4 linked regions of the Alligator mississippiensis genome follow. The protein of the gene in region 4 purifies or fractionates together with the protein of the main gene of each other region. This does not show direct contact. Links are inferred from orthologs where the notes say so. Each region holds a gene or a part of one and is shown on either strand. Other genes may lie near its edges.

Evidence for each region.
Region 1: the proteins of POLR2G (region 4) and MED26 purify together in Homo sapiens (affinity purification with mass spectrometry; 6 studies listed by BioGRID and IntAct, counting the BioPlex papers as one, with this or other methods). This does not show direct contact. The link is inferred for Alligator mississippiensis from reciprocal best matches to the Homo sapiens genes POLR2G and MED26.
Region 2: the proteins of POLR2G (region 4) and RPAP2 purify together in Homo sapiens (affinity purification with mass spectrometry; 5 studies listed by BioGRID and IntAct, counting the BioPlex papers as one, with this or other methods). This does not show direct contact. The link is inferred for Alligator mississippiensis from reciprocal best matches to the Homo sapiens genes POLR2G and RPAP2.
Region 3: the proteins of POLR2G (region 4) and MED1 purify together in Homo sapiens (affinity purification with mass spectrometry; 3 studies listed by BioGRID and IntAct, with this or other methods). This does not show direct contact. The link is inferred for Alligator mississippiensis from reciprocal best matches to the Homo sapiens genes POLR2G and MED1.

What each region holds. Positions count from the first base shown.
Region 1 is NC_081839.1:407,104-414,099, forward strand, and holds the start of MED26 (mediator of RNA polymerase II transcription subunit 26), read right to left. Parts: upstream 3,003-6,996; 5' UTR 2,776-3,002; coding exon 2,701-2,775; intron 1-2,700. Other genes in the region: SMIM7 (small integral membrane protein 7), read right to left, coding at 6,471-6,486, 6,662-6,752. UniProt on the Homo sapiens protein: Component of the Mediator complex, a coactivator involved in the regulated transcription of nearly all RNA polymerase II-dependent genes.
Region 2 is NC_081828.1:32,973,853-32,981,211, reverse strand, and holds the start of RPAP2 (putative RNA polymerase II subunit B1 CTD phosphatase RPAP2), read right to left. Parts: upstream 3,018-7,359; 5' UTR 2,997-3,017; coding exon 2,948-2,996; intron 1,929-2,947; coding exon 1,883-1,928; intron 1-1,882. Other genes in the region: GLMN (glomulin), read left to right, coding at 4,612-4,731, 5,357-5,482.
Region 3 is NC_081827.1:165,686,092-165,693,832, reverse strand, and holds the start of MED1 (mediator of RNA polymerase II transcription subunit 1), read right to left. Parts: upstream 3,012-7,741; 5' UTR 2,843-3,011; coding exon 2,815-2,842; intron 173-2,814; coding exon 66-172; intron 1-65. UniProt on the Homo sapiens protein: Component of the Mediator complex, a coactivator involved in the regulated transcription of nearly all RNA polymerase II-dependent genes.
Region 4 is NC_081838.1:3,128,959-3,135,806, forward strand, and holds POLR2G (DNA-directed RNA polymerase II subunit RPB7), read right to left. Parts: upstream 3,004-6,848; 5' UTR 2,910-3,003; coding exon 2,898-2,909; intron 2,565-2,897; coding exon 2,455-2,564; intron 2,319-2,454; coding exon 2,159-2,318; intron 1,741-2,158; coding exon 1,690-1,740; intron 1,590-1,689; coding exon 1,524-1,589; intron 1,052-1,523; coding exon 980-1,051; intron 767-979; coding exon 733-766; intron 541-732; coding exon 527-540; 3' UTR 355-526; downstream 1-354. Other genes in the region: 5'-3' exonuclease PLD3, read right to left, coding at 4,118-4,311, 4,537-4,636, 4,755-4,920, 5,512-5,651, 5,747-5,947, 6,148-6,275, 6,420-6,534, 6,628-6,811. UniProt on the Homo sapiens protein: Core component of RNA polymerase II (Pol II), a DNA-dependent RNA polymerase which synthesizes mRNA precursors and many functional non-coding RNAs using the four ribonucleoside triphosphates as substrates.

The sequences.
Region 1 (6,996 bases), on a different chromosome or scaffold from region 4:
CAATCCCCAAGTTCATACCTCCTGCCTTACTTATCTTCCATGTTTAAACTCAAGGAGAAATGGCAATATATATTTACCCACCAGAAACTAGCAAGTTTATTATGGACTTGACCCCTATGTAGCTGAAGAACAGGGAACTTAAACCTTAGATTTACAATAAATGTTTGCCAATCAAGGATTAATAAATCTGTTTTCATGGATATCACTACCCAACCTCAGAAAAACATGAAACACAGCATTATAAAAACAGGTGGGGAAGAGAAGGGTAAGGGATTCGGCTCAGTGGATGTCTGGTTTCTCAGTGCATCCTGCGCTAAAGAAAAATATCGCTACTTTTAGTAACAGAGGGCAACAGTGGGGAACCTCTTCTCTATAACATTTCACACAACATACAAGTTGCAGACACTTCTACAACACGTTACAACCAGAATGGAAAAGATCCCACCTACTTTTCTGTCCCCTATGTACCAATCACAGTAGCTGATCTACAAACATTTCAGTTAAATGAATGTTGACACCCGCTATTTGACTAGAGTCCTTACAGCATTTTTAGTAAAATGAGCCTAATTAAAAGGAATGGAGAACTTGATGTAGTGGGAAGGCCCCTGGATGAGCCAATGCTCGTCTGTATAATCTATTTCTTATATGCATCCTGGGGTGGGTGGGAAACAGGGGGAAATGTATATATATTTATACACAACATTTAGATCTCAGTATACTTCTCTGGGACTGGTGGAACAGGTTTCAGTGTTAAACTAAACGTGTATGTAAATGAAACACCTTGTTCCCAACCTAGTGAGTATAACGAGCGAAGCAAAAGTGTAAAAGCTGAAGTCCCCCACCAGACTTTCAGATAAGTGCACAGGCATGCATGCACATGTGTGTCCAGCTAGGATAACAGGTTAAAAAAAAGAAGAATATGCACAGAGAAGTCCTTAAAGCCATGACTCTAGTCATGTCTACACTGGAGTGAGTTTGCTGGTATCTATATATCAGCAAATCCTTCTAAATGGGGGTACAGCCTATAACCCAGGAAAGTTATTTTCCCAGGATAGTTCATACTAGCAGCTCCCCACACAAAACTGCTCCACAGGCAAGGGAATTTTTTTCTGGTATAGCTCACCTTTCAGTGGGATATCTGCCAATTAGGACAGTCCTCCTCCCTGCAACCCCCCAAATTATTCCGGCACAGCTGAATCATTCAATTAAAGTTAGGCCTTGGGGTCAGACTGATTTGATACACAAGAACATGAATGCGAATGACCGCTACTCATTTTTATTGTGATTAAACAACTCCTAGCAAATTAATCCTTCAAAACCTATGCTTTGTTAGAAAGCTTTTCTTTGCCAGGATTTTCTGATTATGAGCACCAATTAGCTCCAACAGTTAGAGAAACTGCTGCACTTCTTAGGTTCATACAGTCCAGAGAAAAGCAAGCTTCATTGTAATATCTCTTATTAAACCTACATTGTTGGAAGGGATGTTAGACAAGCGTTTGGGCACAAAAAGCCCTTCCCCAGTCCTCCGATGCCACTCTAAAGGTGCTCATAATTTACACCGAGATCCAGGGTTTTGAGGTAGTACTAACTTCTAAACTGAACTTTCTCCCTTATGAAAACCGTGCTGCAGGTATTTTATGTTCAACATCTACACCAACTGACAATTAGGTGAGACGCAAGGGTAAACCCTGCGTACACAGGGTTTCTTTGGGTTTTTTTAACCCATCGGAAATTCAGGCATGTTAGAGTTATTTTATTGCAGTTCATGTAAGATGAGAGGTGTATAACATTGCACTCGAGAACCACAGGTATCGGGCCGATTTTTCTCCAGCTTTCACGCGGCAGAATGACACGTGCGTAGCGGAGAGCCCCGAAGACGCCATTAGCCTTTGCTACGGCAATACGCGTTTGCGGTCTTCAAGGGCCCAGCACTCACGACCCTGGCAAGACTGAAGTGCCAGCCTCACGTGCCCTGCGGCAGGCAGGGCTCAAGCCTGCCCGTCCCAACGCCCCCACCGCGCGCGGGCCGTCGGAAACCACCTACGACGGAGGTCCTGAGCTGCGCCCTCGTTCGCAACCCCCCGAGCGGCGTCCCGGCTGGCGAGCTGAGCAGGAGGGCTGCCGCGCGCGGGAGCAGGAGCGCGCCTGTGGCAGAGACGGACGGCAGCGCTTAAAGCCCTCGAGTTACTTGGGGCAGAAACCCAAGAAGTAGTTTTCAGTTAAATCCAGTTACACGTAAAACACGCCGGCTTCGCTACGCTAATACCACATCCTCACACCGGGCGATAAGCCTCTTAGCGCCCTGCAGAAAGGATAAAGACCAAGCAGAGACCAGGGCTGCTCTCCTCTCCCCCGGGACGAGCGCAGCACCCCTCAGCCCCCATCTGCCCGCCTCCCCGGCTCCGCAGGGCGCAGCTCCGCCCGAGCGAGGCCGGGGCATGCCCGGGCCGCGCCGCTTCCCCGCTCGAGCCCGGCTCGGAGCCGCCGCAGGCCGCGCCGGAGCCTCGGCCTCGCGTAGGGCGCGCAGCCCGGCCCGGCGCCGCATGGCCGGCCACGGCTGCCGCCTCCCCGTGCAGCCGGCGGGGGCGCGGGCGGGGCGGGGCGGCGCGGGGGCCCGGCGGGACCCGGGCGGAGCCGGAGCACGGGCCGGCGCCCGGGCAGGCGCTTCCGGGCCGGGGCCGGCGCGCGGCCCGCACTCACGTTGCTCTGCGGGTCGATGGCCTGCAGCAGCCGGTCCCTGATCTGCTGCGGGGAGGGCGCCGGAGCCGCTGTCATTGCCTGGGCGAAGCGGGCGGCGCGGCCGGGGCGGGGGCGACGGGCCGGGCCGGGCCGGACCGGGCCGGGGCGGCGGCTCCTCACTCGCCGGCGGCGGCCTCCTCGGCGAGCCGGAGCCGGAGCCGCATGCTCGCCGCCGCCGGGCGGGCGCGGGGCGCGGGCCGGGCCAGGCCGCGCGGGGTCGGCGGGGCGGGCGGGGCCGGGCCGGGCCGGGGCGTCCGCGCCGCTCGGGGCCGAACTCAACTGTGGGCAGGAGCCAGCCCCGCGCAGGGCACCATGGGACACACCCCACGCCCGACGCCCTTACGCACGGCGCGCCTGTGACGTTGCGCTCCCGCGGCGGCGGGCAAAGCGGCCGCGCGCCCGGCGAGCCACTGCGCCTGCGCGGGGGACGGGGTGGAGCCAGTGCGTGCGCGGGGGGGCGGGGCGCCCTGGGCTCAGTTGTGGCCCCCCCGCGGGGGCGGGGCCACCCCTCGCCTCGTCTCGCCCCGCCCCGCCCCGCCCCCCGCGCACACGACGCGGCGCGGCGCTCCTGAGGCGGGGCGGGGCGGGGCGGGGCGGGGCCTGCTCCGCGCTGCCCGCCCGGCTCGGGCGCCGCATCAGCTCTCCGCCGTCAGCGCCCCGCGGGGGAGCACGTCCGCTGCCTCGAGCGCCGGGTGCCGCTGCTGCTGCCTCCGGGCCCGGGCCCGGGCCCAGGCCGAGGCCGGTCCCGTGCGTCCGCTGCGGCCCGCTCGAGCCCGGCCCGGCGCTGCGCCTGAGCGGGCGCCTTGGTGCGTGGCCCGAGGCCGGCCTGGCCGCCCCTGCGAGGCGATGCTGCTCCCTGGCAGCTCGCGCCCCCTCTGCGGCACGGCCGGGAAAAGCAGCGACCCGCTTCACAACTAGCGGCCGCTCAGCCCTTGGGCCCCGAGCAGCGCGCCTCCGCTGCAGTCGGTCTGCAAGGTGCAACTCGACCCTGCCTTCGGCTTGGCGCAGCCGCCGAGCTCTGCCCACGCGCGGCCGGATCCCGCCGTCGTCCTGGCCCCGACTCCGCGTCCGGCCTGAGCCACGCTCCGTCTGCACCGGGGCACGGCTCCCCCGGGTTGGCACCGCTCGCGTCGGATGCGGGGCGCCGGGCCCGGACGCACCCGTCACCCCCGCGGGGGAGTGACTGAGCAAGTGGGGTTGAAGCAGCTTATTCCACATCTTTACAGAGGGCGAATGCAGAGAGCTACGCCGTGGCACTGCCCTGGCTCCTCCCGCTGCCGGGACCTTGCCTTGCCTTGCCTTCCCTTCCCGCAGTAACCCCCCCCCCCCAGAGTACAAGAACTCTCCCCTTGGAGGAGGGGCATTTCTAGGCATGTGGAAGTGAATACTCAAATCCTTACTTACATCTTGTTTTAGAAAACGATTAAATACAGAAATAAAGGGTAAACAGTATCAACAGAAAGCATGGGGAAAGGGATAAAATACAGCACAAGAGAGATCAAAGTAGATAATAGACAAGGCGGGGCTCAGAGTTAGCCTAGCATTTCTACAAAGATCTTTTCCCATCAATCCTCCCAGGTAGATTATGCTGTGCCTTTGGCTTACAACGACCCTCCCAAGCGACATCAGCATTTCAGGTAATACGGGACAGCATCTCTTCGCAGACCTGAACGGCTGTGAGCACACAGCGCTTGTGCAGCGGCTGCATGCTTGCTCCTGCCTAGAACTGGACGCTTGACTGAACTGGAGGTACAATCCATTAAATCCCTCTCCAGTCCAGGAGCTAAAGTGCCTAGCGGGCAATGAGCTGCTCACAGAGGAGAGCCCGTGACTGAAGATGCTTGCTTAAAAAAAAGAAACATAGAAGTGGGGTCAGGTAATGTTTCCCCCACACCCACACCCTCCACCCCTTTCCTTCCCTATTTATTTTGTCAGCCCATAGTCAAAGTTGCTGGCTGAGGCACACCAATATCAACTTAATAAAAATAAATGCTAGGGGAAGCCAGTCATAATTACAGGACAGTCTACCGCAAACAAAGTTCTTCTAGGATGAAGCTGACTCGTGCTCAGAGTAGGAACAAGACAGCACCCGCTTTAACCCTCAGATAAACGTGTTCTTACTGCTTAGTTACACGTTCCCTGCCATAGCTGAGCTGTTTTTCTTGAAGGCTCTAGCACTGGTCCAAAGATTCAATTACACTCAATCATCAACACTGATTGAAGAAGCTTGATTGCATTACATGTATTGACTGTTTTAGATGTATGAAGCTGAGGATGCGCTTTGGCATTTTGCGCACCACTTGATAAAACTAGTTGCCATCTAATTAACTGATATTTAAATTGCAGTCTCTATAAGTCCTCAATTACATTTATCACTTTTTCACAAAAAGAAACATGAACAATAGAACTGGTATCAAAACAGTGCAATAACAGCTCAAAAGCAGGCTGACAAACACCACTCTTCAAATTTAAACCAAATGTTTACTTGAGTACTTTATTACCAAACAACGTGGAAAGCCAAAAGAAAATGCAAGGGAAAAAAAAAGATTGAAAACATGTATTTTTTTATTTCTTTTCAATCTGTTACGTCATCAGAACACTTAGAAGTTGGTTTAAGTATTTGTTACCTCTGTTGATGATGAATTCTCTTTTTTGACCCACAAGTTTCTTGGAACGTCTCCTGAGCCTCCAGGCCCCTTTTATAGTAAATGGAACAGCACAGAGCACGCGTTCTTCCTCATTTCAAATATAAGGATGTGTGTTACCAACTTTAGAAGACTACTTGATTCTGGTGGCCCCTGGACTACTAACTTCATGTTCAAAAAGTCTGCAGGTAGTGTCTTTGGAACAGTTTACAGACAACTATGGTCTTTGATGTAACAAACAGTATTTTTCTCCTCTGCAGTTATTTCTTCATTAGGTAGCCCCCCAAGCACCCAAATGTTGAGGTCATTGCTGCGGCCAAAAGAAAACTAAGCAGCAAATGGCTGGTCTAACTATTAAGTTGCACTGTAACAGCTTGCTTCACTTAAAAAAAGAAAACAGCCTTTTATAAATGTCAAAATTTGTCTTTTGGTCAAGAGAAATGTCTCTTTAAATGCTGCATATATACACCATGTTATATACTGGCAGACTGAAATCAAAGGCAGGAAAAGACCAGGAGTTTCAAATGAGTGAAGAAAAAATCTAAAAAAAAAGGCAAACAATATTATAATACTAGATAGCGAGCAGGCATCATGCTGTTGGCCACCAGTGCCGTTTGCAGAGCTGTGCTTTGAGAATCAAGGCGGCGGCCCAGACTACTTGAGACAACGAGCATGCAGGCCGGCAAGCAAGAAGTGCGCGTGTGGTCCAAGGTGTTTTTTCTTAGTTCAGAGTTGATGGGACCCTGTTCTGAGACATGAAGAGTCCAAAGAGTCAGTAACATCTAGGTGAGGCGAGTGTCCAGGAGGGTCAGTTTGGGTCTACCTAGCCATGAAAGTGCCCCTCCGCCCCTTGACAGTATGCTATGTTGTTCTTATAACCACGTCCTTTCACAATTTGCTGAAAAGCACGAGCGTGTCCTGTCCCTGTAACATCTAGGTACTCTCATGAAAGAAAGAAAACACAGAATTCCACACTGGTATTTTGAAAACATTGCAACATTTTACTTTAAGCGGTCACGTTTCCAGCCGAAAGCCTCTTCCCAGCCACAACAGAACACCTGCGCCCGGTACACGCTTCCATGCCGTTCAAGAGCCAAACAACCTAGTGGATGAAACACAGACGAAGCAGGTGACAGCTGGCTACAACTGCGCAACGGGGCTGGCCTGGCTCAGGTTTTGGGTGTTTTAACTACAAATACACTAGGAAAAGTCTCACCGGGTGACAAAGGTAAGTAGCTTTGCCCCTTTAAAGCAACACGTGCAGCAGTTCTACTTACACAATCATGCAGAACATCATAAAGATGTTCCAGAGCGCAATGAAGATTCGGAAGTATCTGAGACTCAGCAGGAATTCCCGGACGTTGTCCCCTGGAAAGCAAGAGGAGAGGAGAAGCGTTTACTTGAATCGCGGGGCACCCCCACGCCGGCGCCTGACGCGCTCCCGGCGCTGACTCAACGCCGTCCTCGCCTTCCAGGGGAAAGACCACCGAGAAAAAGAAGCGAGAGAAGAACGCAGGTAGGGAGGGGCTCGGCGACGCGAGCGCGAGGGCAAGCCGGCGCACCGGCCAGACCCGTGACCAGCGGCTCCCCGTCACCATCCCGGCAGGCAAGA
Region 2 (7,359 bases), on a different chromosome or scaffold from region 4:
AATGGAAGGTCTATGAGTGGATGGAGAAGTTCAAACCTGAGCCAGATGCCCCAACACAGCCAGAATGGAGGACACCACCACCCAGGTTGATGCTGCTGTCATATGAATAGGCAAGTGAGCATTCTTGAACTAGTTGTGGAAGTAGGCTTAAGTGCTAGCAGTATCCACGCCATTTTGCCTGATCCCCTGAATTACCAGAAAGTGTCTCTGTGGGCAACAAAGCAACTGACAGGTGTGCATAAATGACAACGTGTGGAAGTGTATACCCAGCTTCTGTAGCATGTACAGGATGAAGGGCTCCTTTCATGCACTGTCACCAGGGACATGACCTGGGTCCAGCATTACAATTCTGAGAGCAAAAGACAGCATGCAATAGAAATACACATTGTTGCCACCACCCAAAAAATTCTGCACTCAATTATCCTCTGCAAAGGTTTTGCTCATCCTGGTCTGGGATTGCATGGGACTTCTTGTCCACTTAATGGAGCATGAGGTTACAATCAATAGTAACACCTACTACCACTTCCTCTAAAACCACCTGAAGCCAGCTATTTGGACCACATGTGAAAGCGTAACTAAAGTGTTTTCCAGCACAATGTGAGATTACACAAGACACAGTTGACCGTTGAGACTTTGCACGAACTAGGCTTTGGAATCTTATCACAGCCACCCTACAGTCCCAATCTTGCACGAAGTTATCATCACGTGTTTGAACCATTGAAGGAGGCTCTTCGTGAACACAGATTCTCCAGTGATGCAGAGGTGCAACTTGTGGTGCAGAAGTGACTGGCATAGTAACCAAAAAGCATTTTTGAGGATAGTATCAAGAAAGCTGTGACACACTGGAATACCTGTGTTGCCAAGCGAGGCAACTATATAGAGAAGTGATGTGGCCCAATAAATGATCACTGCACACAAAATAGTTTTACTTTGAAATTATAGCCTTTGAAACATCCTTGTGTGTGTGTTCCTGACATACACATACATATATGAATGATGTTCAGCCTATGCAGTGAAAAAGCAGAGATCCTGTGGAAAACAGAATGCAACCACAAGATTAAAAAATGTATCGACACACACAAGGGGGCAGAATTAATGTTGCACAGACAATTTCAGTTCTATCATTTCCCAGCTACTTGACTTGGCAACCTCAACTTTCCTTTAACATAGTTTGGGGGTATAGTTGATACCATTTTTGCCTAACATGTCTTAAAGTGCCCTGTCTCCACATTTGCAGGGTTATTTAAAACATTTTACAACACTGAATAGCATAGTTGCTAGCCTATTTGCTAAATGTATGCAAAGAAGTGGGAACTCCAAAATAATGCAAAGAAATGTGATTACTATGTCATAGACAGACAAGGTTCTTTGAGTAAATCTGATATCTTTTATTAGACCAACTCAAATATTTGGAAAAAATTCTTCCTTGCAAGCTTTCGGGCACAAACACCTTTCCTCAGGCTGTAGAAGCATCTGCAGATGGTGTGCGCTCTTCCAGGATGGAATGAATAGTAAAGAAGCCAGAGGCCGGTGTGCATGTAAGAAAGGCTCAGTGACAAGGTAAACAGGAGTCAATGGGTGAGAGACAGCTCTTTCCCTCTGTGCCCCCCACATTTCTCACCCACTGACTCCTACTGAAGCCTCTGGCTTCTTTACTATTCATTCCATCCAGGAAGAATGCACACCAACTGCAGATACTTCTGCAGCCACACAAAGGGTGTTTGTGCCCAAAAGCTTGCAAAGAAGAATTTTTCCAACTATCTGAGTTGGTCTAATAAAAAGACATCAGATTTACCCAAAGACCCTTGCCTACCTATATCCTTAGACCAACACAACTACAACCTATACTTCATTACTATGTCATATAATTTACATAGTATACCTTTGTGCTGCATCTTCATTTTTCAAAGCACTTGATTGCTTACTTCCTAGTAATAAAATATATAAATTAGTGTATGTTTTCTTACCTTGAGGCTCATACTTTTTCACTAGAAATACTGAAAGCACTGAAATACTAGATCATAAGGAAAAAGGATTTGCAAATGCAGAAGAGGAAAGCACAATCAAGATACTTGCACTTTTGGAGGCTGAAGGTGTCAACTCAACAATTACAAAATCAATATTCAGGTGCAAGAAAAAACAGACTGGTAAGGCCCAAATTTTGCAGATGACAGGACAGAGGCAAGACATGTCATTTATGTACCTTGAACACAAATCCAAACTATCTGGGCCCTCCCAACATGGGAAATCACAGAGAAGTAGGGCTGGAAGGGACCTCCAGAGGCCAGCTAACCTGACCCCCTGCCTGAGACAGGATCATCCCTATCCAAACCATCCTATACAAATTCATGATGTCAACTCTTCATAAATCTGCTGTCAGCCCTACCCTTACTTGGCGCAGGGAAAGCATGGGAACCACGCAGCCAACATCCTGCTTCTCTAAAAGATTAGTAATATCTACTCAAGAGGTCCTGGGGAAGGAGGGCTATGCCCCTGCTGCAGAGGAAGGCAATCCTCCCCCGTCCCTATCAATTTGACCACAGGGTAAAGTTCCTTCCTCACCCCAAATCTGACCCTGAGCAGAGGGCAAGACCCCAGCCAGGAACCCCTGGCATTGGCCCCAGCAGAACCACCGACACGTATAGTAGAAAGCCAGGAGGGGGCAACCTGCAAAGCCCAGTCTGCGTTTGCAACCAAGCACGCGCCTGCCCCGGTCCTCCCCCGGGACGCAGCCGACGGGGCAGGACATGGGGGAGGCTGAGCACAGGGGTCCCACGGCCCGCCGGCCGAGGCGGCCAGCACGAGGCTCAGCGCTGGCGCCCCAGGGGTGCCCCGCACGTAACGCTCGTGCTCGCCCCCCCTCCCGGGATGGCTCTGTCCCCCCGCGCGGGGCTGGAGAAGAAGGGCGAGTCCACCGCACCCGGCGGGGGGGAGCTGGGATCCCTACCTGGGCGCCTCCGGCCCGACCTGACCCGCAGCTTCTCCCGCGCCGCCATCACGGCGCCCGCCTAGCCCCGCCTCTCGGCCTGTCCGGGAGGCGGAGCCTGGCCCGGGGACGGCGGCCGCGCGGGAGGTAGGAGCGCGGTCGGGGGCGTGCTGGGCGCTACCTTAAGCGCCGGGTTTCGGCCGTGGTGGGGGATCTGGCTGTGGCCGCTCTCGGCGCCGGGGCGGACACCCGGAGTGAGGCCGGCAGCTGTAGAAACCGGCTGAAGCACGGAGGCCTGAGACCCGCGGTGGCCTGGGCCTCCCGGCGGCCCTGCCGAGCGCGCACACGGTCGCGGGGCGGAAAAGCGCCCACGGCGGCCGGCCCCGGGGCTGGGAGGGGGCGGGCGGGCGGGCGGCAGCGCTTGGTAGGATGAAAAACGAGTTGTTGTAGTTAATGCGTTGTAGCTGATTCGAGCTTGCGTGGGAGATTAAATGTTCCTCTTCTTCAGCCGCCAGTTAACGTAGTTATTATCTAAATAATCCTGTTGGGTTAGTGAAGGAATGAGGATAGTGCGCTGGCGCCTACCGTTTGGAGGTGCACGAAATCTTCAGGCCTCTTTTTCTTACAAATAAATGTGCCTTTGGCTTGAGGATGAAATCATAAAATTCCGTTTTACTGTAACCTGGGGTCCCCCCCTCGTGCAAAGGCTTCACACACAAGTGCGTCGTGTCGTGCCATGCCGGCGGGGGAGTTTCATTGACTTCAGTGGATCTGAACAATAACTAGTGTCTGGAGGTGAAAGGCAGTTGAAGTAGCTTGTTGTATCAGACAGATTTCAAATTTAAGAGTAGTTTTAAGGAAAGCAAGTCTCAAATAAAAGTTAACACCAGCATGGTGAAACTTTGTAGAAAAAAAAGTCTACGCTAACTTTTCTGTTGCAAAGAGCTCAGAAAGGCCACAGCTGTGCATTTCTATTTGAAATCTCTGGGTTTATCTTGTGAATCATTTTTACAAATCTGATAGTGCTAACATTGTGTGGCATCCTGCATCACCCTTGAAAGGATCTCAGGTTACCCCACAGTGCTGTGGGACCCTGGGTAAGAATCACTGGTCCACATGCTTGAAAGAAGAAGAAAAAAAAAAAAAAGGCAAACTATATCATACTAGCTGTTTAGCATGTAACATGTGCAATAACACATACTGATCCCGAACTCCAGTCCTAGAGCATGGTGATTAACTAGACTCTAGAGTACATGATGGTGGTTTTCTGCAGCAGCCGTGCATTCCTACTCTCATCCTTGCAGTTTTCTCCCCTGCAAAATCTGTCCCCTCAAGCTGATTTCTACACGTTTGATCTTGAAACTATTACATATTTGATTCAGTTGCATCAAATTACTTCACTTTTTGTTTGACAAATACAAGAAATATACTGATCCTCATACAGTATCAATGCTATTTCCTGCCTCCAATAAACAAGCAATAGCAATACCTGTATGCAGAGGAGGTAGAATTAAATGACTTCTAATCAATTTTTACATTCCTTTTTCCTTTATTGTTTTTTCTTGTGTAATTATTTAGACTTATTTTCTGACTTATTTTTAGACTTGCATTCATTTTTCTCATTTTTTCATGTTATCATATTTTAGTAAGAATAGGTAAGTTTCAGTCTCCATCTTTAATTCAGCATGTTTTTACTATATGCATATCAATACTGCACTCTTAAATTTATGACAGAACTGTTGTCACAACAGCAAAGCGAAGGTATCATGGCAATTGATGAACTTCAAGCAATTGTTCAAAGATGCGTAAGTAGTTTACTTTTTGTAAAACTACATGAGAGGTTATAGAAACAAGCACTGACTCCATCTAAATGCATGTTATGTTTAAAAAAAGAAAAGAAAGGTAGGGTAGCTTATAGCAACACCCTTTGCTGTCACACAGGGTAGTCACGTTTAGCTTCCTATCTCCATTTTCTCCCTGGTTACTGTCCTAGAACAGTTGTGCCCAACCTTTTGCCTGGAGGGCTGGACTGGCAGTGCCCAGTACCTCTGCATATTGGATCCAGCCAGTGTTCTTGATTCAGTACCTTGGTGGGCCAGTGGGCACCATCTGGCTGTGGGGAGGGGAGCAGGGCCAGACTGGCCCCAACGCAACCTGGTGGAGGGAAGGGGCCCCAGCCCAGCCCTGCAGAGAAGGGAGGGGCTGGGGGGGAGAGAGGGAGGGAAGAGGAGAAAAAGGAAGGGAGTGTGGCCAGGCCCCAGAATCTGCTGTTTTCCCTAGTAGATGTGGATAACTTTTTAGAGTTGAAATAATGAATCACAGATAAGTTAAAATAAAATTAAGAAGTTCTAATTCAGTTTATAATTCAACTCAAATTTGGGTTTGTTGTTTCTGATTCATATAAAGCTAAATGTATGCTTTTCGTTTTAGCAAATTCTGGAAGAAGAAAATTTCAGAGCAGAAGATTTTAATCTTTTTCAAGTAGCAGGCCAGAAGTGTTTAGAAGAAGGGTATGCCGCCCAGTTATTAGAAGTAATTCAAAATGAAAAAAATAAGGTGAATTTATTTTTTATTATTTATAATTTAGAGGAAGCTCATAAGAAGTAGAAACTTGAACAGATAACTAGGGAAGAATATAAGAACATTGCTTGGGCATGCAGGGATGAAGTCAGGAAGGCCAAAGCACAATTGGAGTTGCAACCAGTAAGGGATGTGAAGGGTAACAAGAAGGGTTTCTACACATCTGTTGGTAGCAAGAGGAGGATCAGGGAGAGTATGGGTCCCTTACTAAATGGGGGAGGCAGCCTTGTGATAGAGGATGCAGAAAAGGCTGAAGTGCTCAATGCCTTTTTTGCCTTAGTCTTCACAGGCAAGGTCAGCTCCCAGACTACTGCATTGGGCAGCACAGTCTGGGGAGGAGGTGAGCAGCCTTCAGTGGTGAAAGAGCCAGTTAGGGACTACTTAGAAAACCTGGATGTGTACAAGTCCATGGGGCTGAATGGGATGCACCTGAGGGTGCTGAGGGAGTTGGCTGATGTGATTGCAGAGCCATTGGCCATCGTCTTTGAAAACTCAAGGTGATCAGGAGAGGTCTCAGATGATTGGAGAAGGGCAAACATAGTGCCCATATTTAAGAAAGGGAAAAAGGAAGATCCAAAGAACTGCAGAACATTCAACCTCACCTCAGTCCCTGGAAAAATCATGGAGCAGATCCTCGGAATCCATTTCTAAGCACTTGGAGGAGAAATAGGTAATTAGGAACAGTCAGCATGGATTCACAAAGGGCGAAGTCATGCCTGACCAACCTGTTTGCCTTCTGTGATAAGCTGACAGGCTCTGTGGATGCAGGGAGACTGGTGCATGTGGTGTACCTTGATTTTAGCAAGGCTTTTGATACGGTTTTCCACAACATTTTCACAGGCAAGCTAAGGAAGTATGGGCTGGATGAATGGACTGTAAGGTGGATAGAAAACTGGCTGGAGCATCGGGCTCAGAGAGTAGTAATCAATGGCTCAATGTCTAGTTGGCAGCTGGTATCAAGTGGAGTGCCCCAGGGGTTGGTCCTGGGGCTTTTTTTTTTTTCTTCAGTGTCTTCATCAGCAACTTGAAAGATGGCATAGAGTGTACCCTCTGCAAGTTTGCAGGTGACACCAAGCTGGGGGGGAGTAGTCGATACTCTGGAGGGTAGGGCTAGGATTCAGTGACCTAGACAAATTGGAGGATTGGACCTAAAGGAATCTCATGAGGTTCAACAAGGACAAGTGCAAAGTCCTGCACTTAGGACAGAACCATCCCATGCACCACTACAGGCTGGCATCTGACTGCCTGGGCAGCAGCTCTGCAGAAAAGGACCTGGGGGTTACAGTGAGAATAAGCTGAATATGAGCCGGCAGTGTGCCCTTGTTGCCAGGAAGGCTAACAGCATACTGGGCTGCATTGGTAGGAGTGTTGCCAGTAGGTCAAGGGAAGTGATTATTGCCCTCTATTCAGCACTGGTAAGGCCACATCTGGAGTACTGTGTTCAGTTTTGTGCCCCCCCACTAAAGAAAGGATGTGAACAAATTGAAGAGAGTCCAGTGGAGGGCAACAAAAATGAGGGGGCTGGGGGACATGACTTATGAGAAAAGACTCGGGGAATTGGGCTTATTTAGTTTAGAGAAGAGGAGACTGAGAGGGGACTTAATAGCAGCCTTCAACTGCCTGGATGAGGATTCGAACAAGGATGAAACTAGACTGTTTTCAGTGGTGGCAGATGACAGAACAAGCAGCAGCAAGGGAAGTTTAGGTTAGATATTAGGAAGAAAAACACTGGAACAGGTTACCCAGAGAGCTGGTGGAAGCTCCATCCTTGCAGGTTTTCAAAACTCAGCTAGACAAAGCTTTGATCTAGTTGGGGATGGTCCTGCTTTGAGCAGGGAGTTAGACTAGATGAC
Region 3 (7,741 bases), on a different chromosome or scaffold from region 4:
GGTGCTAACAAAGTATGAATCATAAAAAGACTATGTAATATCACCAATCTCTCGAAAACTCTCACCATGACTTGACGGACAAGCTTCACAGTTTCAGTCCAAGGTCTGTTCTGGTTAAACTTTGCATGAAGTCTTTCCAAGAGAGAACTCATCTTGTTCAGCTTCTCTGCTTCTATGGGACAAATTACAGAAGACATCTCATTCAGGACCTGCTGCAATTTAATGTTAATTCAAACAACACAAAACTTTTACAGACACAAACCCCCCCTTCATCTAAAAGATCCGCCATTCCATCTCAATGTTAGGGTAAACCACAACTTTGAAAAATCTTTTTACTGATTATACACACACACTTTTAAGACCTGCTGAAGGCTCATGGGAAAGACCTGAAGTAGCAACAGATCTTTGAAGAGGAGTGGTTAAATCTCCTGGTTTTCATAGCACTGAACATGCATATGCAGTTTGTTTTTCAACTCTGAGTTCTGCTGAGAACTTTATAAGGCAAAAATACTTCCACAGACTCCTCCTTACTCCCAAAACCCTAATCACACTCTATGTTTCGAACTTTTTCATTTGTGGACTGACCACCTGAAAAGAAGCTGTGGACCCAAATCTGAGAGCCATTATACTCACATTTTTGCTCTAAATTGTTTTTAAGAATACCTTCGTAACACGCAGTGAAGGGTGAATCACCAGCCTATAAAGACTCCAGCTGGAACCCACTTAAAATGAAGGACCTGACTGAGGCAGTGACAGCTGGAATGCAACACAGGCCAACAACTACCAATGCTGCAGAGAGCTGGGACTTCTATGACTTAAAGGAGTTCTGATCTTACTCATACTAGAGACCCATGGGTTGGCATCTTCTGTGGGTGGGTGCCTGCAGGATACAGAGGTGTCCTTGAATCTGGATAGCAATCTGCATACTGCAACACAATGAAACAACTAGCAACTTCAGTTTCACTTCCCAGCAAACAGGGTTTCATGGTATTCCATCAACTTTAAAACTTAAGAAACAAGTTTTATGCATCTCAATTTCTCTGTTATTTGGTGGGGGGTTACAGCGCTTTTTTACTGTGTGTTAAAAGTGCTTTGGTCTTCAGTACTGCAATGGAAAAGAAGCTTATAAACTACAGAGAAACTGATGATGCAGTGGAAACACTGTCATTGACTATACAAAGGGTATTATCAAATGCATGAAGTAAACAAGCTGAAACAACAGAGAAAATAGTTTTCCTTACTCTCTAGTTATGAGTATCTTCTGTGATATTTGTAAAAATTGGGGATAACACTTGTCTAAAAATAGTTTTAAGTGGTGTCCCTTTCACTAGATATGGAGCAGGCTTCTCTAAAGCTAGACCCTGGAGTTTAAGCAAAGTCATCCCCGTTTGTTTTGGCAACTTCAACTGAGGTGTCCAGTTCAAGGTAAACCTAGGATTAAAACTTTAATGGCACAAGTTCCTATTTGTGTAAATATGTTAGGGGCATTTCAAAACTCAGTTTGGGAATTGTATTATGCCATAAACTTAATATTGAATGCATCTGCAGGTCCACATGCAGAAAACAGTTCTTTAAAATGGCTGGTACAAATTTCCAGATAATGGATGACATCCTGGGTCCACTGGGATGCAGTAGAAGTTCTGCATTTGACATCAACAGAAGCAGAATTTCAGCCAGAGTATAGTCTTTTATTTCCTTCAGAAACTGAGGAAGTCAACTATCCCTGCTTAGCAGCTGGCACCAGATGTCACCAAAAAAAAGAAAAGTAACCTGTCTGTCAGACTAGCTATTAATTTTAGTTCTTCTTTTTAATTTACATTGAAAGCATGATGATTATTAGTTTTGCAGAAGAGGTGGATTTAGACATGCCTTATATTTGTGTGTTTAATATGTTCGTGGATTGTTTCTGATACACATTAAAAAAATTTTTTTTGAACCAATTAACACAGCAGAACTGAAACCCTCAGAATGAATCCATGCCCATTTGATGTATACAGGGGCAAATTATATATAGGGAAGAACTCTAAGCTCTAGAAACCATTTCCCTTACTGCACAGAACAGGTTCCCAAACTCTGCCCTACTAAAAGCTGTGCTGACATCATGATAGCAACTAAATGGATCTGCTCAACTTGCCTAAGTTGGGGCAAATGGCAGCTGTCATCACCTTTCACAGAGGTGCAGCCAATAAGGCTGCAAGTCACACAACATGAAGGTCCATCTCAACCCAAGGCAGCTGTTCTGGCTTACACACCACACGGTCACCTGCACCAACACAGTTTTGGGCACCTTCATATTCTGTAAACCACGAGGCTGCTCAGCTCCAGGTGAAACATCCCGTCCTTGGCACATACACTCCTCTCCCATCCGGGTGCAGCAGCACATGCCAGAAGCCCCTTAGCTACCAGCAAGCGCTCCCTACCAAGGGGTTTGGACTAGCACGGGCAGCAGTGCCCGATTCTGGCTGCAGGTAAAAGAGCACAACCCTGTCTTCCGGTCGCCTCCTGGGCAGCTCAGCCGTGGCTTCATACAGGGCACCAACCCGTGCGCTACGGGTCCCTGACATGCTCCTGAGGACAGATGGATGCTGCCCTGAAACCTACTGGGAGGGGGGAAATGGTCCTTCATCCCCCTGGGGACTTGAGGGTAGGGACTGCTGGCTTTCCAGGGAAAAGGATGTGTGGGCTGCCGCCTGCCCTGGAGATGAGCATCTCCCTGTCCCCGCCCCGGCAGCGCCCCCTCCCCCGCCCCCGCGGGCAGCCTCGTTCTGAGCGAGGGGCTGGGGGCGCAGCCTCGCTCTGGCCCCAGGCACTCACCCTCAGCGCCCCCCTGAGCCGCCTTCATCCTGCAGGCGGGCGCAGGACGGCGATGGGGAAGGGAGGAGGGGCGGGCCCCGGGGCAGGCCGCAGGTGCCTACTCGCGTCGAGCGGCTCCCCGCGGCCAGGCCCCCCCCCCGCACGGGAGAAGCCTCAGTCCGCGGCCGCTGCCGCCATCCCAACGGCCATAGCTAATCTCCAAACTGCGCGACACTTCCGCATTCTCGCGAGAGCCTGGAAATCTCGCAAGAGAGCAGCGAGCGGAGCATGCTTGCGCCGACATCTCGCGGGATCTGGAGCACCAGCTCGGCTTCTGTACAACTTCCCTTCCCCACTCTAGGCATTTGGGCTTTTGCGCTCGGCTGCGGGGCCGAAGCCTCTACTTGATAGTAGCTGCCCCTGAGACTTCTTTGCAGTTCGAAAGAGCTACGGAGATGTAACAGTAATTACACGGGGAGGAGAACTAAATATTTCAAATACCGAGTCGGGCAGGAGCGATGGTGGAGCCGCGATGGGCCAGAAGCCAGGCTAGAGGCACAGATTTCTTAGGGCGATACCTTTAATTGGACCAGTTGGGTGGATAGGATGGAGTTAGGCAATACTTTCTTCTTCAGAGAGTGCATCTAACTCCACTCCGCCTGTACAGCTGGTCCAATAAAAGGTATCTCCATAAGAAATCCTTGCTTTGTACAGCAATGTTCCCACTGTGTTACTTTTTTTTTTTTTTGGACTATTTGTAAATCTCAGCTGTTCCAGGAAGGTGGCTAGCAGACTTTTCACTTATCTCACTGTGCTGAGATGGCAGGCAGTAGACTTACTGTACTGCTTCTTCTCACTCATTGACTCCTCAATCTATATTTTCACTGACTACCTGTCTTGTATGCATACCAGCCCAGCCCCTGGCTTTTTTACTTTTCATTCCATCCAGGAAGAGCACACAGCAACTGCTGAAACTTCCTTAGCCTGACGAAGGGTTTTTGAACCCGAAAGCTTGCCTAATTATTATTTTCCAACTATTTGGGTTGGTCTAATAAAAGATATCAGATTCACCCAAGGAACCTTGTCTGCCTATGTTCTTAGACCAACACGGCTACAACCTACATCCCTGTACTGCTTCTGAGCACTCCTTTTAAGTCTGAGATCAGATAAATGCTGCTTTAGCATACATGCCAATGTTGCTACGGTCCCAGCCTCCTTCTGCACAGGGCCACATCATCTGACCTGTGAGGCTCCACACTGGCAGTAGTGTTAAACACTACAGCTCTAGGAACACTTAGCTTTGCTATCACTTCCTTATCACCAAATTTCTGTGCCTGTGGGGAGTCCCACAGGCCAGGTGACATGGCTGTGGGCCAGGTGTGACCTTTGGACCAGAGGTTGAACACCACTGATGTAATACAAAAGGAACATACCCAGCACATAACTGGAAGCTGACAGCGGTTGATAAAACAGTACCATAAACACTGTGCTTTAAGTCTAAACATACATCCAATGAGCCCTTAACTTGGTCTAGGTACTATCAAACAAAGTGTTAAAGATATTACTTTAATCTTAAAATCAAGTGTAATGGGGCAAACCATAACAGCTTTCTAAATGCATTAAATACTTTTACCTCCCATCTCTTTAGAAGGACTTTTTCCCCTTCTCCCATACCTCCACTTTATTCATTCAAGTTCAGTACAGAGTACAATACTATTAACATACTTTGCATTTCTTTTTCACCAGAGAAAAACGTTTTTTACAAACAGTAAATTGCACAACACCCAAAGATAGAAGCACTGCAAAGGGGGGTGGGGAGGAGGGGAGGAAGAGAGAGAGAGAAGGGGGGGGGGGAACCAAGATTAGCAGCATTCCACTTAGAGCTCTTCTTTCTGCTTTCTTTTAGCACGTAATTTCAGTTTTCCCACTATCAAGATCCAAATTTACATTTCTAGCTCATCACTATGGACAGAAAAATTGATATTGTCAATTCCCTTCCACAAAACCTGAAAAAAACCATCAGGTTCACCTTTGTAGAATGACAAAATACTAATGTCAGAGACAAACCCAGCCTTTCTTTGAAAAGGGCCAGCCCACCTTATGGCTTCCTCTTAACACACCACAGCTGAAGATGTTCTGTTCTTTGACCACCAGATGAGGTGACCTGTTTGAGTGGGGTAGGAGTTCTTCCTGTTTCCTGAGTAAGACATTTCATCTCCTTCAGTGGCCAAGTATACAAGGTATCTACATCTTTATGAGGTAGTGAATACAAATTAATTGTTTTAAATTCCACTGAGACTATATGATAAAATTGTAGTCATGTGCTACTTTGTTAAAAAGAAATTGCTACCTAGGATTTACAATAACTACTGCTTTATACAATAGTTACTTTGAAATTAATAGAAACTGGAGATTAACCTCTTCCTCCTTTCCAGAGGTTATTAGAGTCTGTTACTTTAACTAAAACAAGCTATTCATCTGCAGGCTGGTGCCCAGTTCTAGTTCCAGTCGAGAACAGTGTTCCATTAACCAGATAATTAGACAGACAAGGAGACCAAAGAATAATAGGATCCAGTATTTGCTGAGGAAAGTGGTGGATTCATCTGAACTTCAAGTCTTGAAAGCAAGCTTGGATGTCTTTCTACAATAGCAAAATAAATCCAAAGATATTGGGAATTATGTGGGAATTTGAGAGTGTAATTTGATGGCCTGTCTTTCATCTTAAAAATCGTGGAGATGTGGAAGGACCATCGCTACTGAGTTAACTGCAGCCTCAGGAAGAGAAGGGAGGAGCATCTGTAAATCCACAAAATAGTTGTACTTTTGTCACCCTTTAACTTAAAAACAAAACTGATGAGATTTCATATGCTGAGTGTCAGCCTAAAGAGAATTTGTATGGCCTAGTGAATATAGACAACAGGGTTTGTAATGGAACACAGACCCACCATTATTATAGCGAGAGAGCTCAAAATGTCGATGTGACAAAATGGAAGCTGTAAATACACACATGCAAATAGAACAGACACCAATTAAAACCTGCAATTTTAGAGCTTTCTGGAACTTGCCTTCAAGTGATGTGACCCTCATAAAAATAAATCTACATTCTATAGTGACAGTTTCAAACCTAAATGGATATGCTGTTTGAGTCATTCCTGTATCATGCTGTTGTTATATTGAAAGCCTCAATACTTCAAGGAACAAGCATGGAAGTTTTAAAATAGGAATATTCACAGTTTTTCCATGTAGAAAAAGCTTGGGGGGAGGGTATTTATTCTCAGAGGGAGGAAAAAGCAATTTTTGTTGCTCTTTTCCTTTTCATATTTGCTTTGGAGTGTTTAAGGCTGGCATATAATGACATTATATTATACCACCCACTATACACCAGATCCTTTTACTTTCTGTTCTATTGTTGGGTAACATGTCACAAGGAGCCAATGATAATTTACCTGAGGAATGGCTAAGGGACATTTCCAGAAGTCTCCACTGATGTGATCTGCTTCACTTTTTGGCTAGCCTCAGGACCCATTTTTCAAAAAGCACCAAGGAACTGCAGTCCCTGTTTCCAAAAACTGCTGGACATGATTGTCCAAGTAGTAGTAACAACAACAATAAAAATAAATACTTGATTTTTCTCTGGAGGGTTAGGGCTATAGAATGAGGGTTCTGGATCATATGATTCTGTTTCCAGCTGTGAGGAAAGCTAGGGGTGATAGAACTCTGGGGGTCAGGGCGCTGGTGTCCTCTTTTCGGTTCTTAGAGACAAGTGGATGCAGCAAGGAAGAGCTATTAAAATCAGGAGTCTTGGTTTCTGGTTCCAGCTCTGAGCAGGGAATAGGATTTAAAGTATAAAGGTGGGGACTGGAAGCCAGAACTCTTGGATTTTATTTCCAACTCCAGAAAGGGGCAAGAAGTTAAGCTGGGACCAGGGAGCAGTGATCCCAATCCCCCTGTATAAGTAGACAGCTAGGTTTTGTACTTAGTGTGTGTTTAATGCAGCCTTTTATGGCTACTATTTGCAAGGCCCTTTGGCTTTCTTGGGGAGTTATGTGAATAGGTGTATGCATACACATGTCTACATGTATATATGTACCTACATATATGTGTATATGTATATATGTACACACATGAACATAAATGAACACAACCACCTGTGTTATGTTCATCTCCCTAAGCATGTACTTTGTGCATGTGGGGGGAGGGGGGGTATTTGTCTTCAGGAACGTGTCAGTAAAGTTTTGTTGAAGGGGGGGGCACCTGTGGTGCTTTGTCCGCTCACTTTCCTCCCAATAAAGTTTTGTTGGAAAGGCAACGCTGACAAGCGCGGGGGTTGGTCTGTTGGTTCGTCCCCCTCCCCCCCATGTGCCGCGTTACGACGGGGCTCAATAAAGTTTTGTTGAAGGGCCTCGCGGCGTGCTCTCGCGAGGTTTCCGTCGGGGCCTGAAGGAGGAGGGAGAAGCGTCGGGGAAATCTCGCGAGGTTTGGCCGGCGGAGAAGGGCTTCCCTCCCGCGAGAGGACGCGAGCCGTCGCGAGAGTTGGTGGCTACCCCCTTGGAAGCGGTGCCGTTTCGCTTTGGGAAGTGAGCGGAGGGGGGGCGGTCCCGGGCGCGGGGCAGACAAAGGGGCGCGAGGCGGGCGCGGCCGGGCCGGGGGAAGGGGCCGGCTCCTCGGCGTCCGCAGCCGCTCGGGGCCTGGGCCTAGGGGCCGCCTCGAGGCCTGGGGACGCCGCGCGGGCCGAGCCCAGGGCGGCCTCGGCCCGGGGTGGGGACGCGGGCCCGGGGCAGCTCCCGGCTCCTCCAGCCTCGTGCTGCGGGGTCGGAGCGTGTCCAGCCCGGGACCCGGTCCCCAGAGCGCCCCCCATGTAGTAAGGCGAGGCGCGGGGCCAGGGGCAGGCAGGGCGTGAGGGGGCAGCCACTGTGAATGGTGGGCGGAGGGGAGAGGGGCACGGGCA
Region 4 (6,848 bases):
CCCACCCCCCCACTGCTGTCAGCTGGGGGGCGGGGTGCTGTTTTCAGGGAGGTCCCAGTCCTCCCAGACCGCCCTGGGGTCCCAATGGGGCTGGCCAGGGTTGCAGGGTCACTGCACCCCCTTATCCCAGGCTCATTCCCCAACACCCCTCCATCCTACTGCAGCTCTCCCCAAACTCCCACCCTGTGCCTGTACAGCACCTAGCACAGCAGAGTCCTGGCTCTACGGGGGCGGGTGCTTCAGCACAGCCCAGCCCCAGGCAGCCCCCCTCTGCCCCCCTACACCCTCCCACTCCCACGAAGCAGCTTCGGGTCACGGGAGGGAGTGGGGAACAGCAGACACACCACAGCGGTGTATGAAAAGCAGCTTTTATTGGGAGGAAGAACAGGCAGGTGTGGACCCGGCCCCCAGGCCTGGGCAGGCCCACGCCGGACCCCCATAAATAGGGCAAGCAGTGCAGGGGGGCAGAGGCAAGGCTCATCCCAGCTGGAGCCCAGGGACACAACCAGAGGAACGGGCTTGTGCATCAGCTCACGAGACCTGAAGGAGACATGGAGAGAGAAGGGTGGATGTAGGAGACCCTGGAGCACCATCGCCCAGGAGCCCCCACCTGAGAAAGACTGCAGCCCCTCGGTGAGCAGAGCCCGACCCGCGGGCACCAACTGTCAGGAGCACCAGTCTGTGCAGGTACGCAGGGATAGGGGCAGGCCTGGAGCCAGAGACGAGACTCACCCAGATAGTCGTCCATGAGGGAGCCGATGGCAAACTGCAAAGCAGGACACAGGTGTGAGCACCGCGTATGCCCCCCGCCCCCTCCCGCAGCCTGGGACTGGAGCCCCCATGCTCCCACCCCGCTGGCACTGGGACAGCCCCACAACTCCTTCCCACCCAGCTGCTCCAGGCCCACAGCCCCTCTGCTAGGAATGGGGTAGCTGGGAACCCGGCTCCAGCCCCACAGAAAGAAGCAGGCAGGACTCACGATGTCATTCTTGTCCACTCGGGTTCCCACAATTTTCAGCCGGATCTCGTCGTCCTGCTGGATCACGATGTCCTGCAGACACGTGGAGCCCAGGCGAGACTCATTTCTGCACCCTGCTTCCCCCTCCCCCCACACCACGGCAGCCCCTGCCATCTCCTCCACAGGGGAGAAGGGCTTCAATGACATGAATGCCTCTCATCACTAAGATGCCATTTGCAACCAGCTTGTCCCTCTCTTTTCTGGTTTCAGAAGTTTTTTGAAGGAGGCTGGATGGTTTTACAGATGAATAAAGTGAGGCACATGCGAGGGGAAAGTGACAGGGCCCAGGCCACTCAACAGGACAGTAGCAGAGCCTAAAGCAGACATGCCCCGTCCCGGCCTTCCTTGTCCCAAGGAATCTCATGTACTGGAAAACAGCCACCCTCCTGCCCCTTGCCCTGCTCTGGGGCACCCCCTAGCCCCTACCTGAGTTTCTACCCCAGCCTCCCCAGTGCCCCCCAATGCTGCCAGGTGCCCCCAGGGAGCACCGTCAGCCCCAGCTCACCTCGTCCACCGTTTTATAGCAGGGGGGGTTGGAATTGGGGTCGAACTCCATCTCAGAGGGGATGGACTATGGAGAGAAGGACAGTCAGCTGTGGTGGGCTCCCAGGTCTCACCTGAGCCTCCCAGACCAGAGGCAGCCCCCAGCCCCCTCCCCAGGCAGTGCTTACATGGCGGGAGATGAAGCAAGACATGGGCCCGATCTCAGTGAAGAGCCCAACCTGCGGGAAGAGGAGGCAGCAAAGCTGTGAGGGCCACGGTGACAGTCCTGGGTTTGGGCAACGCGGGAGCAAGGAACGTAGGGGTCTCGGATGTGGTATCTTAGGGTGGCCGTACGTCCGCCCGCCTTGCTCCTGCACTGCAGCAGGTGTCCACCCGCCCGCCTGGCGCACCAAGCTGCTCGGCCTCGCCGCTCAGGACTTCTGCCCAGCCAGCCAGGACCAGCCTGCAGAATCTGGCACTGTCCCAGCCAAAAATGGGACATCTGGTCACTCTAGTCCTGGGGGACAGAGGCAGCACGCCCCAGCCTCCAGCAGCTTCTACAGCCCCCCGCATCCCAAGACAGATGGTGCAGGGCTGCAGCCCTCCTCCGCACCAGGGCTTACACCAGAGGCTTTCCTGTGCCCCGCCGCCCCTCACCTTGTTGACCTGGGTCACCACCGCATCCACCACCTCGCCTTTAAAGGGCCGGAAGACGATGGCCTTGTACTTGACGGGGTAGAGCACGAAGCCGCGGCCCGGCTGGATGACGCCTGCCCCGATGTTGTCGATGGTGGTGACGGCGATGACGAAGCCGTACCTGCCAGGGAGGGAACGGGGCGGGGAGGGACAACACCAGTCTCGTTAGGACATTAGATCATGGTGGGATCCCCTCCATCCACGTGTCCCAGCTCCCTGTTCTCCCCCAACCCAGCCTGGCCTGGCCCCCCACTCACTTGCCCGTGCAGGTGCCCTCCACCTCGGTGAAGAGCTTCTGCTTCACCGTGTTGAGCAGGTTGGGCCCGAAGTAGCGCGGGTGCAGCAGGATCTCGTGCTCCAGGGAGATCTGTTGGGGCAGGACATGGGGTGGTCACAGACTGTCACAGGGGCTGGGACAGGCCCCCCTGCCCCCACCCACTCCCCTCCTTCCCCAGGACTGCCCCCCCATCACCCCCCCCAGGACTGCCCTGTCAACCCCCCTCCCTCCCCCCATCAGCCCTCCTTCCTCCCCCCAGGACTGTCACCCTCCCGCTGTCCACCCCCCCAGGTAAACCCCCTTCTCAAGGCTGGGCAGCAGTGCATGCCGGGAAGCCTGGTTGCGCTGGGGGTCTCCCTGGGGCGGGGTCCGCAGTGTCCCAGCCCCGGGGGCATGGGGGGGGGGGGGGGTTCCGCCACTCACGTGGTAAAACATCCTCCTGAGTCCCGACGTCTCCGGACCGGAAAGAACCCGCAACACCGCGCTTGCCCCCGATTGGCCGCAGCCCCGCGGGAGCCCCGCCCCCTCGGCCCGTAACAGAACCCCCACGGGAACTAATTGCGCATGCGCTCAGCCGAGGGACAGCGAGCTGCAGCGCATGCGCACTCGGGGCAGAGGCAGGCTGGCTGCGCGGCCGCCATGACACCAGAGGCACCCAACGGCGCCTGCGCGCGGCAGGCACAAGGGGGCGCTGCGGAGCCCCCGGCAGGGGCAGGGGCGGGGCCCGGGGCGGTGATTGATAGCGCGAGGGGTGGGGCGTATGCGGTGATTGACAGGCCCAGTGGCATCAGAATTTGCTTTATTGTCGCTCTGGTTACAAAAATAAACTCTGGAAAGTGACAACTGCAATGCACAGGCCCCCCCCACTCCCACTCCTCCCCCCGCAATGGCCCAGCTGCAAAGCCCCCCAAACCCACTGCAACCCCCTGCAGGGTGCAGCCCCCCCCTCCCCCAGCCACATAGGAGCTGCTCAGAGCCACCGACCCCCCCACCTCTGGCCCCGCGTTTGGCCCCTGGGGAGGGCTGCGTCCCCTTGCACCCCCAAGGCACAGCCCCTGTGTACAAAGCCCCCTGCCCCCCCATCCCCACGCAGGCCACCCCCAGGGCTAGCCACTCAGCCTAGCTTTGAACCCCCTTGGCCCACATCAGTATGCCCCCCCCCCCCCAAACCTGGGCCACAGCCCCCCAGCCGGGCTCAGTGCAAACTGGCAGAGGCGCCGTGCCCCCACAATGCCATGCAATCCAGCAAAGCAGCCCCCTGCCCACCCCGTCCCGCCTTCCCGCCACAAGGCCCTGCTCCTGATTAGCCCCGATTCTTCCTGCCCCAGCCCATGACCTACCCCCCAAACAATGCCCATTGCCCCTGCTGCTGCCCTGAGCACAACCCTCCCAAGACCCCTCGCCCCCCCCAGGCAGGGAGAGGGCATCAGACCCTGAGATTCCAGTGCAGAGACCCCCTGGCCATAGCTGCAGCCATGGGGTGCCTGGCACTAGGCAGCTACTGCTGCCCCTTCTTTGGCTAATAGGGTCCCAGCCCCCCCAGGTGGGGGGTGGGAGCCACCTGGTATCCCCAGCTGTCCAAAGCAGTCCAGGGGAGGAGGGTGGGGTCCCAGGCTTTCCCCCACCCTCAGCGGGAGCTGCCCTCAGTGCCTGGCAGCACAGCGGGGCTTGAGGCTGAGCGGCTCCGTGTAGGGAGATTCCCAGTCCCGGTTGAACACAGCGGCCAGCTGCTCCCGCAGGGAAGGCCCGGGTGTCCCCGGCTCCTCGGTGCTCTGATTCACAACCAGGCCCACGCCTGCGGTGTTGATGAAGTAATCCTCCGACCAGTTCGAGGTGCCTACGGGGAGGGGGGGAAACCAGTGATAAACACCAGTGCTGCTTGGGATTGGGCAGGGGAGGGCTCAGCTCACCAGAGAGGTCCCCAGAAAAAGGTGGAAGCCAGGGGTCCGGGCTCCCAGCTCCTCCCTGCTCCAAGCCCCCACGCCCACTTCCCTCCCAGGGCTGGGGAGAAGCCAGGTGTCTACGCCTCCAGCCCCCTCCCAGCACTGGTGCCCGGGCTTACCGATGTAGGCCACGCGGTCGGTGACCATGTACTTGTTGTGGTTGACACGGGCGAAGGGGATTTGCTTCTGCTGCTCCGTGGCCGGGACAACGAAGAGTTTCTGCAGCAGAGGTGGAGGGAGCGGTAGTGTCACCCCCTACCCCAACCTCCCCCCCAGCTCTGAAGTGACCCCTGCCCCTCCCTGGGCTGGGATCCTCTCCTGCAGCTCCAGGACTCACCACCTCGATGGGGCAGCCCAGGGGCTCCCGGTGCAGGATGAGCAGCGACTCCAGGAAGGGGAACATGGCGCGGTCAGAGTGAGGCCAGCAGCTGGCCAGGAGCCGCACGCGCACCCCCCGGCCGCAGGCTGCCTCCCGCAGCGCCTCATCCAGCACTGGCCAGAACCTGCGGGCAGCCGGCGCTGGTCACGGGGAGAGGCAGAGACCTCTGGGAGTCGCATCCAGCCCCAAACCCCTGCCCCACGCAAGCCAGCCCCTGCGAACTCACCTATGGGCACAACAATGCAATCACCTCCAACCCAACCACCCGAGCCTGCCCAAAGGGAAACCAGGGGTCTGTCTGCCAGCACCCTGCTCCTGTGGGAGGGGCGTTAAATATGCCCCAGAGACCCCAGGGCACCCACTGCTGAGGAAGACAACGCCCACCCCGCACCCTGGTCTGTACTAATCTGACCAGAGGAAAACTTCTTCCTGCCCCCTGTGCAGCATCAGTTTGACCCTGAGCAGGGGGCACGACCCTCCAGCCAGGACACTCTGGGTTGAGTCCCAGCAGAAGCATTGGCACAACCCAGCCACTGCCCCCAGCCTGGGCTGCGGCTGACACCAAGCACCACTGCAAAGAGGGAGAAATCTTGATGCAAGGGGAAAATTCCCTCCCAGCCCCATGTGGCAGCCAGCAAAACCCCAAGGCCTGGAGATCACAGGCATCACTGCTCCTAGACTTCCCCCAGCCCGTGCCGGTCTAGTCCGCGGCTACCTCTTGGGAGTGCAGAAGGTGCACTGGGGCACAAAGTCCATCACGGCAACATGGATGAAAGCCTGGGCATCCGCGATGGTCTCCAGGATGGCCTCGAGGTCAGGGGTGCGGCCAGCAGAGCACAGGGCCGGTGGGGCGCTCTGGGGTTGGGCACAGACAGTCTCAGAGCCGGCGCAGCGAGGTCGCCTGGGCGCAGCTCCCCTTGCCCCTCCTCCCACACCCCCCAGGCACTCACGGAGAGGAACAGCTGTGTGGGGACACCATTGAGCTGCAATTTCAGGGGCCGGCGGAGGCTGGACAGGGCAGCCAACTCAGAGGGCCAGGCCGCAGGCAGGGGGGTGCCTGGCCCTCCCAGTGCCCGGTAGGTGCCGAAGATGCGGCCCAGGTCACTGGCCACACAACTGCAGTTGTAGAGTACAGCGCCCAGCTCCTTCACCTGCGGGCGGGAAGGTGAGGTGGGGGTGAGCATGTGGCTTCCTGGGCCTGGGCCCTGAGCCCTGCACCCGCAGCCCCTGCCCCATCCCAGCATCTAGCCCCCAGCACCTGGCTACAGCCCCCTCCCCATCTTCCCATGTGCCCCTGGCCAGCTCACTGCCAGCACGTGCATGTGCACCTGCCCGTGTGCCCCCACGGTACCTGCGTGAGCGAGCGCCAGTCCATGTTGGCGCTCCCGACATAGACATGCTTGTCATCCACCACCCAGAACTTGGAGTGCAGCACCCCGCCCGTCAACCGCTTCATCTCCACAGAGCTCACGTTAGCCCCTTGGGGGGGAAAGGGAGGCGAGATGGACGTCAGGGGGCTGGAAGCCCCCCTGCTCTCAGCCCCCAGCCTACCGGGGGCTCAGGCAGCTCCAGCCAGGCTGGAGCAGGGTTCTGGTTCCCTCCTAGCCCCTGAGCAGCAGCTACCTTTGCTGGCCAGGTCCTGGGTGTCAGCATTCGACTCCTGGGGGCTGTTCACAGCCACATTCAGCTGCACCCCGCGGGCTGGCAGGTCCCATAGCCGCTCAAACACCTCCCTGCCCTGCAGGGAGCACCAGGAGTAGGTCAGGGTCAGCACCGCTGCCCCTCCACCCCCCAGCAGTGTCCTGTCCCCTCCCCCTGCCCCGAGCCTGACCTGCCAAGCAGAGGTCTCCGTCTTAGACGTGTCCAAGTCCCGCAGGGTGAGGTAGAAGGCAGCAATGTCCACGCTAGTGTTGGCGCCGCCCAGTAGGTCCATCCAGGCCTGGTGCACGGCAAGGGGCCGAGGGCTGCCAGATGGGTAGTCCAGGCCCTCAGGGAGGCTTTCCACGAGCATGGCACTGCCGTGGCCGTGGAGAGAGACCAGGTCAGAGGCAG